3 linked regions of the Yarrowia lipolytica genome follow. The protein of the gene in region 2 interacts with the protein of the main gene of each other region in a pairwise test. Links are inferred from orthologs where the notes say so. Each region holds a gene or a part of one and is shown on either strand. Other genes may lie near its edges.

Region 1 (4,481 bases), on a different chromosome or scaffold from region 2:
GCAATGTGGTGTGTGACCTGGGTGGATATACTTGATAGTAGTTGTGTAATAATCATTGTGATTTGAACCAACTACTTTATGAACATCCATACTTTCCTTCATAATACAAATCAGGACAAGCCTTGTCAACCAGATAACTGAAAGACCTTTGCGTGAAGACCTGTACAAGTGTACTAGTAGCTGTTTGTGCTTAAGGACAACGGTTGGTGCTCAGCTGAGATCTTGGGTCATTTCTGATGCTGAGTAAGAGATGTCTTTCACGTATGAATCTGTGGAGTCAAGACTTGTTCATGGATAATCAACCAATGGTGTTTTTCGCCTTACAAGCGGATACTGAGAGAAGTACAGAGTGCGATACTTTAGATAGATGTACATACTGTAGTACATACAGTACTGTATCTTTCTCGTCCACCTCTACAAGTTCAACATGTTGTATAAACGGTCGTCTGGCGTAACCCGGAGACTCTTGCCTTCACCATCATTAAACACCCATTTGTCGGCGAACTCGCAGTTCATTATAAATTAATAAAATTACACTAACTAATTTCTATACAGTCGTCTCCTTGAAGTCTCCATCGTTCCTCCGTCGTTTCTCCATGTTCCTCCGCAGGTTCGTCAAGACCTAGCCTTGGTTCCCATACATTCAAATATCCCACTAAACACCAACTCGGTAAACTCGTTGTCGCTGCATTCTGAACTGAATGACCTCCGATCTCTCCAGAGCATGAAGCGTTCGGTCAAGAGCCTCCTGGCTATGGTTTCGAGTGTTGACAAACTCGGTAACCAGACGAGAATAACTCGTCGACCAGCCCATGGGCAGACGTCGTCGCAGCTCCTGGTCGATCTGTGTCACCTCCTCCATGATGGTATCCTTTCCAGACGTTCCCTGGGTAACGGCATCCATTGTAGATGCATTAAACAGTCGAATGGCCTCCTCCACATGGGCAGCGCTGGCCACAGGCTGAAGCTCCAGCTTGGCAAGGGCCTCTGTGATTCGAACAATAGCTTCTAGCTGTCGAACGGTGATGGGAATCGACGACTTTCTGCCCATCTGACGCTCGGCAGCCGCAACTTGTCTTCTGAGCTCGACAAAGTGGCCAGACAGACGCTCCGATGCTTCGTCTGACAGAACGGGAGCCACCTTCTGTCGACAGTACGAAATGTATCGTTTAAGCAGATCCAGAGGAATCTCTCCCTCCTCTTCCGTCTTGTTTCCGGTCTCGTGGATGGCCATGACGTGCTTGGCGATGGTGGCGTCTCTGGAGGCATTGTGGTCATCCTTGATGAGGAAAATCATATCGAAACGCGACAAAATGGTGGTCTGGAAGTCAATGTTTTCGCCCGGCGATTTCATGTCGTCGTATCGGCCGAAAATGGGGTTGGCCGCCGCCAGAACGGCTGTTCGAGAGTTGAGAACGGTGGTGATACCGGCCTTGGCAATGGAGATGGTCTGCTGCTCCATGGCCTCATGGATAGCAACTCGATCGTCATCCCGCATCTTGTCAAACTCATCAATACAGACTACTCCTCCATCAGCAAGCACCATGGCTCCTCCTTCGAGGTAAAACTCCCGAGACCCCGACTCTCGCTGCACACTGGCAGTCAGACCGGCAGCGGAAGAACCCTTACCGGAGGTGTAGATGGCGATAGGAGACACCTTCTCGACAAACTTGAGCAGCTGCGACTTGGCAGTACCGGGGTCACCCAGCAGCAAGACGTTAATATCTCCTCTGAGTCGCATTCCATCTGGAAGTAGCTTCTTGGAGCCACCTACCAGAAGGCATGCAATGGCCTTCTTGACGTCTGTGTTTCCGTAAATGGACGGAGCAATGGAGCCTGTGATCTTTTCGTAGAGATCGGGCTCTTTACTGAGGGTAATCATCATCTGCTCTTCGGCTTCTGAAAAGATAACCTCTCTAGAAGGGTTGAGTCCATCGGCAACAGGAGCGTTGTTAGAATCAAGACCAGTCATTCCCACTAGTCGAATGTAGGGACTCTTGATGGCCACGGCACCCTTGACTCCAGCCTTGTTGTTGTTCTTTCCCTTTTGCGCCGAGTAAATGGCATAGACGCCGATGGCCATGATTCGAGTGCCGGGAACCACCCGGTTGGCGAGATAGCCATCGGCGCAAATGATCACGTGACGGGGCATTTCTCCCACGGGCACCATTTCTGGCGCCTCCTGCATCTTGAGCACCTGCTGGTCGACAAACTCGCTCTTTTCGTGCAGGATCTTGTAGGGGTCCAGGGGACAGTTTTTGGCTTCTCCATTGGGGTTGGGGGGTCCCTGGCAGGCTCGAGGAATGTTGAGAGAGGCGAATCCGGGAGTCACTTCGATTTTGATCTGGTCTTTGCAGTGTGAGCAAATGAGAGTGACCGTCTTGACCTTGTTGCTGACGCTGCCACTTCCGATGATGATTCCGGGCACTCGAACCAGTCGGGAAACATGTGTCGATCCGAGATCTCGAATCTGGGTGATGGAGGCGTCCGATCTGAGCGTCACCTGGACGTAGGGGACCTTGGCAATGGCGTCGGGCCCCTCTTTTCGTAGTCGCTCGTCTGCCTCATCCATATAAGGGTTGATTAGTCGTCTTGCCACGTTGGCAGCAGCCAGCTGGAACAGATTGAGCATTCCGGTGGGGTCGTCCGCCAGCCGTTGACCCAGATCTCCATCGTACGCTCGGACATGAGCAATGTCCACTTCTATGGTCAGAATGCCGCCCAGAATGTTGTCTTGCAGCTGGTCTCGGTAGATGAAATTGCCGTCAATGTAGAACTCGCGGATGAAGTCGGCGTACTTGCGGGTGAGTCCGACGTTGGTGTCCTCGACCCGGTCGTCGTCGCCGGGCAGCACTTGTGTGGAATACACTCTTCCTGTATCGAAGGACATTGCGGATCTTGTGTGGCGGGGGGTGTGGTGAGGTGTTGATGAGAGTTCTTTTCGCACTGGGAGGAAGTGTGCACACGCGTTCGTTACTATTCCTATTCGGGACAAGTAGAAAGTTTACTGAAAAAGAATACACGATCGAACACCACACCATACAACCGGGCAACGGGTGAATGAAACGATTGGAGTCGGTAATTGTGACCTCCGAGAGCTTGGAAATTCACAAATATCTCAAAATTTCCGTCATATTCCGTCTATCGTCGCACAATCGCCCCGTCAAACCCCGCCACGGTTACCCCCTAGCAACGCGTAATAAAGTTGCCAAATTAATTAAAGGGTGAGAGCCCGCGTCTCGCGGTTAGGGCTGCAATGTTTGGGAGTGGCTGTTTTGGTCGGGGCCGCTTGAAACATGCAAACGCTGTATAAGATGGATTTCTGCTTACTAACATTCATCATTCTATTAATACAAATAAATACATTACCGTACAATCACTTGTCGTCCTTTTTGTCGTCCTTGTCGTCCTTGTCTTCCTTGTCGTCCTCGCCCTCAGACTCCTCTCCAACCTCATCATCCACAACCTCCATCTCCTCATCGGAGGCCTCCTCGAGATCCTCGTCCTCTCCGTCGCCGTCACCGTCGCCGTCGCCCTCGGCCTCCGCTTCACCCTCAGCCTCAATGTCTTCCTTGGCGTCAGCCTCAGTCTCTCCCTCGACCTCCTCCTCAACCTCCTCTTCCTCTTCTCCCGCTCCATATTCCTCCTCATCGTCTTCAAGGTCGGCGTCGGGCTGCTCAGGAGGGAACTCCTCGCCCTGCTCGCCCTCATTGTCCCACACAATGTTGAATCGAGTCACCCGGGGCTTCTCAGCAAGAATGTTTCGCACCACATGGTCCACCTGCACCTTTGGAGGGGGGTTGAGGCGCAGCTCCTCGCTGTCGTACTCGTTGTTGACGTAGTATCCGACTCGTACAAACTCGCGGTCGTTGTAAGAACACGACAGAATGATGACGGTGACAGAAACCAGCTCGGACGCGGGAATCAGGTCAACTGTGGGTGGGTCGGCCGTGAAGACGAACTTGTTGACTCCAACGGGAACCGGGCCCACCAGAAGCGAGTCGAGTTCCTGGTCGTGTTCGAAAGATGTGGACGAACCAACGTATGTGAGTTTCCATTCGAGGTCTGTGTTAGTAAGAGATATTGGGACATTCGTAAACCGAAGCCCTTGAGGACCCAGTTGATGAACCAGGAATAGTAATCCATCTCAACCCCATCAACTGATGGACAATTGCTGATTAGCTCAATCAACATTGGTGGATGCTCAACCAACACTTGGATAGATGCTGAGATGGAGACACTCCATGAACCCCTATGACAGCCTCATCCACCAGCCTACAACTCCCGATCAATGCACCTAAAAAAGAACCAATCAACAACTTGACATCAATCCAACGTCAATTAGATTGGAATAGTCTCTGCCACTGGCTCTCCATGTGTCTCTCCATGTGGCCCTCCATGTGGCCATCGCACTGCCTACCACCGCTCTCCCCGGTCTACTCACCATGCTTCAAAGGCTCGAGACACTCAAAGGTGATCTG
Region 2 (2,468 bases):
GGACATTGAGACCGCCGTACTTTGTGTTTGCCAGAAACTGTTGGGGAATCAAACCTCCATAGCTGACAGCAACTACGAGACTGAAGTCATTGGGCAGAGCATTGATCTCCGTCTTGTTGTCTGCCCGAAGCACCGTAAGGCCGTTCTCTACCGCGAAGTCGGTAATAGGCACATCTTTGAGCTCCTTGAGACCTCGTCCAGCTCGTTTGGGCGGTTTCGTAACGACTGTGACGCTCTCAATGGCACTAGGGTCCTCCTTTTGTAGTTGGAGAACCGCCTGTAATGATTTGATGCTGAATTTGTCACTTCCAAAATATGCGATTTTGAGCGCCTCATCACATGGTGCTGAAGTGCCGAACGTCCTCGACAGGCCACTCCATGTGGCTCGAACAGCTCTAGCCCTCAATGCCCACGTTTTCATCATGGTGTTGAGTTCAAGTTTACATACGAGTCCTGTATTCGTATGTACGCGTCTCTTTAATACAGCAATTATGTACTAGTAATCTGATTACGTAAAGCAGATTTTGGAGATGGAACGAGATATATTGCGACAATTTCTACGCGCTCAATATTAAACAGCTATCATACACTTTACTAACAATCTACCAGTTAATATCCCGCTTAGCAGCCACCAAGCTGCTCCTGGTGAGCCTCGATGGTGTCGCCGTCCTCAATCTGCAGAGTCTCGGGGGTGTCAGTGTCGGTGACTCGCTGGCCGTCGTAGAGGAAACGCAGGGAAGACTTCTGCTTGCCCTGTCGCTGGCAGAAGGCGTCGATCAGTTTCTTGAGCTGTGTGGACTTCTTGATCTTGAAGAAAATCTCCGACGACGAGTCGGTGACCTTGATGTTGACGTGCTCGGAGCTGTCTACCTTGGGCTGTGTTTCCTCAGACATCTGCTGCGTTAGTTTACGAGTGGACAGAGGTGCGTTTCTCTCTGGTTTGTGTCACGTTCGGTACGTCACGTTCACCGTCTCGTGTTGTGCAAGTGCAACTTGAGCGTGGCTGCAAGGCTGAAGCACTCAAAGTGGAGCATACAAGCTCAGTGTATATAAACACACGTACGCCCGCTTGTACTCATTTCTCCTGCACCTTGTCAGCGCCTCTGTTACTTCATCTTTGCCACCATACTCACTTTTGATGTTTGTGTGTAGTTGTGTGATGGATTTCGTGGATTGCACAAACTATGATTGTGAAAGCCGCGACTTCAGGGCTAGGGGTTCCGAAAGGGGCAACTAGATTTGAGCAAACCGGTGTATAAAAGGAAATGAGATGAAGAATAATATTTGCAGCTGAAATCGACGAAAAAAGGAGGCCCGATCATTGGAAATCTATTGTAGGACATAGAGAGGACCTTGGTTACTCACCGTTGCATCCATCTACAGCCATGCTTAATAAGCAAATAAACCTCCGCTAAGCTCACCTCTGAAGGGTTTTTCTGACGAGCATGGGACGACAGACAGGACCAGCCACAGGGACGGGAAGAACCGCATTATTCACGAAAAAAACCCGCCAATTTCGAACCCCAAAGACATTCGACACACTCAATCACGGCCCATGAACTGGCTGAGAAAAATCAGAGTGTTTATCTGGGGAGAGTACAAGAGCACGGCCGAGGAGGAGCACCTGTTGCGCAAGATTGACTGGTTTGTGCTCTCCTTCTGCTGTCTCATGTACTTTACCAACTATCTGGATCGAGCCAATTTGTCCAATGCCTTTGTTTCGGGCATGCGAGAGGATCTCCAAATGTACGGCCGAGAGCTCAACATCGCCAACACGCTCTTCACTGTGGGATACACGGTGGGTATGATCCCCAACAACCTGGCTCTTCAGGTGTTCAAGCCCCGGTACTACTTTCCCTTCTGCACCATGGCCTGGGGCCTATTGACTCTGGGCACCTATGCTGTGACCACATACAAGCAGATCTATGCCATTCGTTTCTTCCAGGGCTTTTTTGAAGCGTCTACGTTTGTGGGCACCCATTTCATCCTGGGATCGTGGTACAGTGGTAAGGAGTTGGCGAAGCGAACCGCCATCTTCACATCATCAGGGCTCATTGGCACACTCTTCTCTGGTTTTCTGCAAAGTGCAGTGTTCAAAGGACTCAGTGGGAAAGGAGGACTAGCCGGCTGGAGATGGCTGTTCATTATCGACGCCATCATCACGTTTCCCGTGGCTCTCTATGGCTTTATTTTCTTTCCAGATACACCAGCGACGACACAGGCCTTTTATTTCGACGAGAAGGAGCGCCAGATGTCTGTCATGCGACTCCCGCCACGCCCAGACACAAAACTAGACTGGACAGTTGTCAAACGGGTGCTTGGACGATGGCACTTTTACATGTTTGGGCTGCTATGGGGCATTGCGGGCGAGGTGGAGTCTCCTCCAGCCAACAACCTGTTTGGACAGTATCTCAAGGCTTCCGGGTGGAGTGTTATTGAGAGTAACAGGTACCCGATGGGCGTTTCTG
Region 3 (3,440 bases), on a different chromosome or scaffold from region 2:
TCATCAGTGCCTGTCTGCCTATTTTGTCGGTGGTGGCTCCCTCACCTCCTCCTCACCCTGCCAGCGCGCCCGCCGAGCCCAACGTTACCCTGGCCATCTCCTTGTTGCTCCACGGCCTCGTTACCACTGCTCTGGCAACCATCAACTTTTCGTTGGCCATGGTTCTGGGTCTGCTGACCGTGGCATTCAACTTCATCCGTCCTGGGTCTGCTCACACCAAGAGCAACCTACTGATTCTCATCATCACATGCCCTTGGACTTGGCTGGTTGCCGTTGGCGCCGTTTTGCACACCTCGCCCTTCGATATCCTGCAGATGCTCCTGTGGTCGCTTAGAGGTAACCAGGTGTGGACCTGGCAGGTGCTGTTCGGTCTGTGGCTGCCCCAGTGGGTGCTTGCGGTTATTGTCTCGCGCTCTTCTACCCCCGCCCCTGCCCAGTCTACTGTTGGCTATTTCAGAAAGCAGTAATTAATGGGGGGGTGCTTGTGCTTGTGATGAAAGAAGAAAGAAATCATGTCTCAGACCACTGACCAGGTGTTACACCTGATGAATGTATACCCTTGTAGGTATTTAATGTCCGTAATATATTTATGATGAATAGAATATTGGCTTGTGTTTCAACTGCTCGTTAGCTGTCTCTACAGTTCTCACTTGTCATGGTAGATGTTGTTGAAGGTACCCACCATGACCCCAAACTACACTGGAGTCACATTGTTGCTGCTACATATATTGTTTTCATCACGCATGGAGTTTCGGGGGATACCTTCTCGTGGAGGGGTTGCAACTGAGAGAGCTGAGAGGATGTCTTGGTTGAGGATGCCAATAGGGATCTTTGTCGGAGTTGACACCAAACTTGTTCACCTGTCTCAGGTTGGTCACGTCGAATTCATTGGTGTCTTTTGGAAGACGCTGTTGGGGGTGAGGTTTTTCTTTCGGGCTTTGCACTCTCACAAACGCTTTGGCTTTGGGGGCGTACCTGAACAGTCTTAAGTTCTCTCTTCTGACTCTCTTGAAGATAGGAATGGTGACTGTGGGTTTTCTAGCGCCGCTTTTGTGTTTATACTCTTGAATGAGATCTCTGAGCGATCTTTCTACCTCCTCGCAGGGCTGGATGATCTCCTTGTCCAGTCGGTAGATGCATTCTTTGAGGATACGCACTTTGCTGAGCTTGTGCTCGCGAGCAGTGTGGTAGTCGAACGTCGGTAGGTTGCCGAGATATGCCGTGTACAAGGCCAGAATGAGCACTGTTGCTGCCAGCTCGTAGACAGATATCATCTTGAGCGGTGATAGGGGCTGTTTATGAGTGATCTGTTTACACTGACAAGAGACCGGTCTGGTGGATTGGGTGCAGATAGGTCGGATGGGGTAGGTCGGAGAGGTGTGGGTCGGGAGTACTTGTGGATGTGTCAAGATACCGCTCGGTGTATTCAGCAGTAGGACAGTTGGTATACTCAATGGTGGTGTTTTAAAAAATACAGTAACTGTACAGGTACACATGTTGACACTTTTCACAATATTATTTCGTTTGTCAGATCGCTGCTGTAGAAACAATTGTGTATGTACTGTATGTATGAACGGTTTTCTTTGATCAAAATCAATAAGCCGTTTAATATCTTGTCTGATCAAAAGGTGTACATTATTGGTCTGTTTCCTGTTATTACATTTCATATTTTGCTGAAATTAATTGCAATTAATCTACGAAATTATCTTTAAATGCTGCTTAAATATCCCCAAAGATTAATAAACTCGGATCCATTAACATGCATGAACGCGTAAAACTTGCTCCATGGCGACACACACCATGAATAGCGACATTCCCGATCCCAGCGACTGGATCGACTCCAAGCTGAGCGGCCTCAAAGACGTGGACGAGACTCTGCGCTGCCACATCTGCAAGGAGTTCTTCACTGCGCCCATGATCACGGGATGTGGCCATACCTTCTGCTCGCTGTGTATCCAGCGATATCTCACCAACACCAGCCAGAGATGCCCCACGTGTATGCAGGAGCAGCAGATTTCGCAGCTGCGCAAAAACGTGACTGTCGAGACCCTCGTGGAGCATTTCAGCGCCCAGAGAGCCACGATTCTTCGCGTGGTGAAGGAGGCGGCAAAACAGCCGATTCCAGAGGTGGTGGAGCCACCCAGCAGTCCAGATTTGGACGACGGAAGACGCCGGTCCGGTCGCAAACGTACGCGCACAAACTACACAGAAACCCTGGTCTCGTCGGACGACATTCAGGTCGAGTGTCCTGTTTGCCAGGCCATGCTTCCAGGAGCAGCCATCAACAGACACCTGGACAACAACTGCAACGACACCGGAGCCAATGGAGGCAACTGGCTGGGCACCAAGAAAAAGACCAAGCCGCTGCGCAAGATTCAGCGAGTCAACCAGGCGTCAGAAAGCGTGGCCAACGTGCGTCGCAAACTGCAGGATGAAGGCCTTTCTACTTCGGGGTCCAAACAGACGCTGTTTCGGCGCTACGACGAGTGGGTGACGCTGTGGAACGCAAATGTGGACAATAAGACGCCACGGTCAAAGAGCGATATCAAGGACGATCTGCGAAGGTGGGAAACGACAGTGGTGGCAAACGAAAACGCACAACCGGTGAAAATGACCATCAAGAACATTGACGATAGACAGTGGGTCCAGAAACACAAGGAAGACTACGACTATCTGATCGAACAAGCAAGGAAGTCGATTCTCAAGAAGAAACAGGAAAAGGAAAAGGAGCAGCAGCAGCAGCAGGAGGGGCACCAAAAAGCAGTGGATCGCAGGGAGGACAACGAGCCGGACATGAAGAGGAGTGAAACAGAGGGGTATCAGGTTGTCTCCTAAGACATAGAATGCATGCATGTTAACACTTACAATAGACATAAAAAGATTTATTTGAATCACAGAAACGCGTTTCGCCGCAAGATCGCCCAAGTTTGAAGTCGACAGTCATCGTGGCACAGAGCTCCCACAGGCGTGAAAGTACGACGTTTTGATTCGTCTCGTTCCGCTCTTCAATTTGATCTAACAATATCCACACAAAAAAAACACAACTCCTCCCAAAACTGGGTTTCGTATCGAAGTGAGGACCTTCACCAGTCAGAAAGACGTCTCGAATACCTGTCTTGAACAGAGACCAGAAGAAGAAACAAAAAAGAAAGAGCCAAAGAGCTCTTATGGACGACACCGGAATCGAACCGGGGACCTCGCGCATGCTAAGCGCATGTGATAACCAACTACACCAGACGCCCACGATTGGAGATGCGGGTTGGATACGTGCGTTTTGAGCATAAAAAAGGTTTTGATAAAATTAAACTTAATTAAACTTTAATCTAATTAATCGACCCTTTTTGTAAATATTTTATTAAACCAAGCTACTTGTACAAAAACAAGTATTTTTTTGTCAATGTTTTTTTGTATACAAGTGTACCCAAGACGTGTCTTTTACT

Evidence for each region.
Region 1: the proteins of YALI1_F10115g (region 2) and YALI1_A01766g interact in binary tests that used the Saccharomyces cerevisiae proteins (3 or more experiments, as listed by UniProt). The link is inferred for Yarrowia lipolytica from reciprocal best matches to the Saccharomyces cerevisiae genes SMT3 and MCM5.
Region 3: the proteins of YALI1_F10115g (region 2) and YALI1_A08468g interact in a two-hybrid assay, tested with the Saccharomyces cerevisiae proteins (2 studies listed by BioGRID). The link is inferred for Yarrowia lipolytica from reciprocal best matches to the Saccharomyces cerevisiae genes SMT3 and RAD18.

The regions. Positions count from the first base shown.
Region 1 is NC_090770.1:173,729-178,209, forward strand, and holds YALI1_A01766g (uncharacterized protein), read right to left. Parts: upstream 2,891-4,481; coding exon 656-2,890; downstream 1-655. Other genes in the region: YALI1_A01736g (uncharacterized protein), read right to left, coding at 1-56; YALI1_A01777g (uncharacterized protein), read right to left, coding at 3,377-4,065, 4,445-4,481. UniProt on the Saccharomyces cerevisiae protein: Acts as a component of the MCM2-7 complex (MCM complex) which is the putative replicative helicase essential for 'once per cell cycle' DNA replication initiation and elongation in eukaryotic cells.
Region 2 is NC_090775.1:1,010,671-1,013,138, forward strand, and holds YALI1_F10115g (uncharacterized protein), read right to left. Parts: upstream 895-2,468; coding exon 622-894; downstream 1-621. Other genes in the region: YALI1_F10110g (uncharacterized protein), read right to left, coding at 1-424; YALI1_F10122g (uncharacterized protein), read left to right, coding at 1,556-2,468. UniProt on the Saccharomyces cerevisiae protein: Not known; suppressor of MIF2 mutations.
Region 3 is NC_090770.1:845,074-848,513, forward strand, and holds YALI1_A08468g (uncharacterized protein), read left to right. Parts: upstream 1-1,785; coding exon 1,786-2,835; downstream 2,836-3,440. Other genes in the region: YALI1_A08436g (uncharacterized protein), read left to right, coding at 1-467; YALI1_A08467g (uncharacterized protein), read right to left, coding at 738-1,667. UniProt on the Saccharomyces cerevisiae protein: E3 RING-finger protein, member of the UBC2/RAD6 epistasis group. Associates to the E2 ubiquitin conjugating enzyme UBC2/RAD6 to form the UBC2-RAD18 ubiquitin ligase complex involved in postreplicative repair (PRR) of damaged DNA.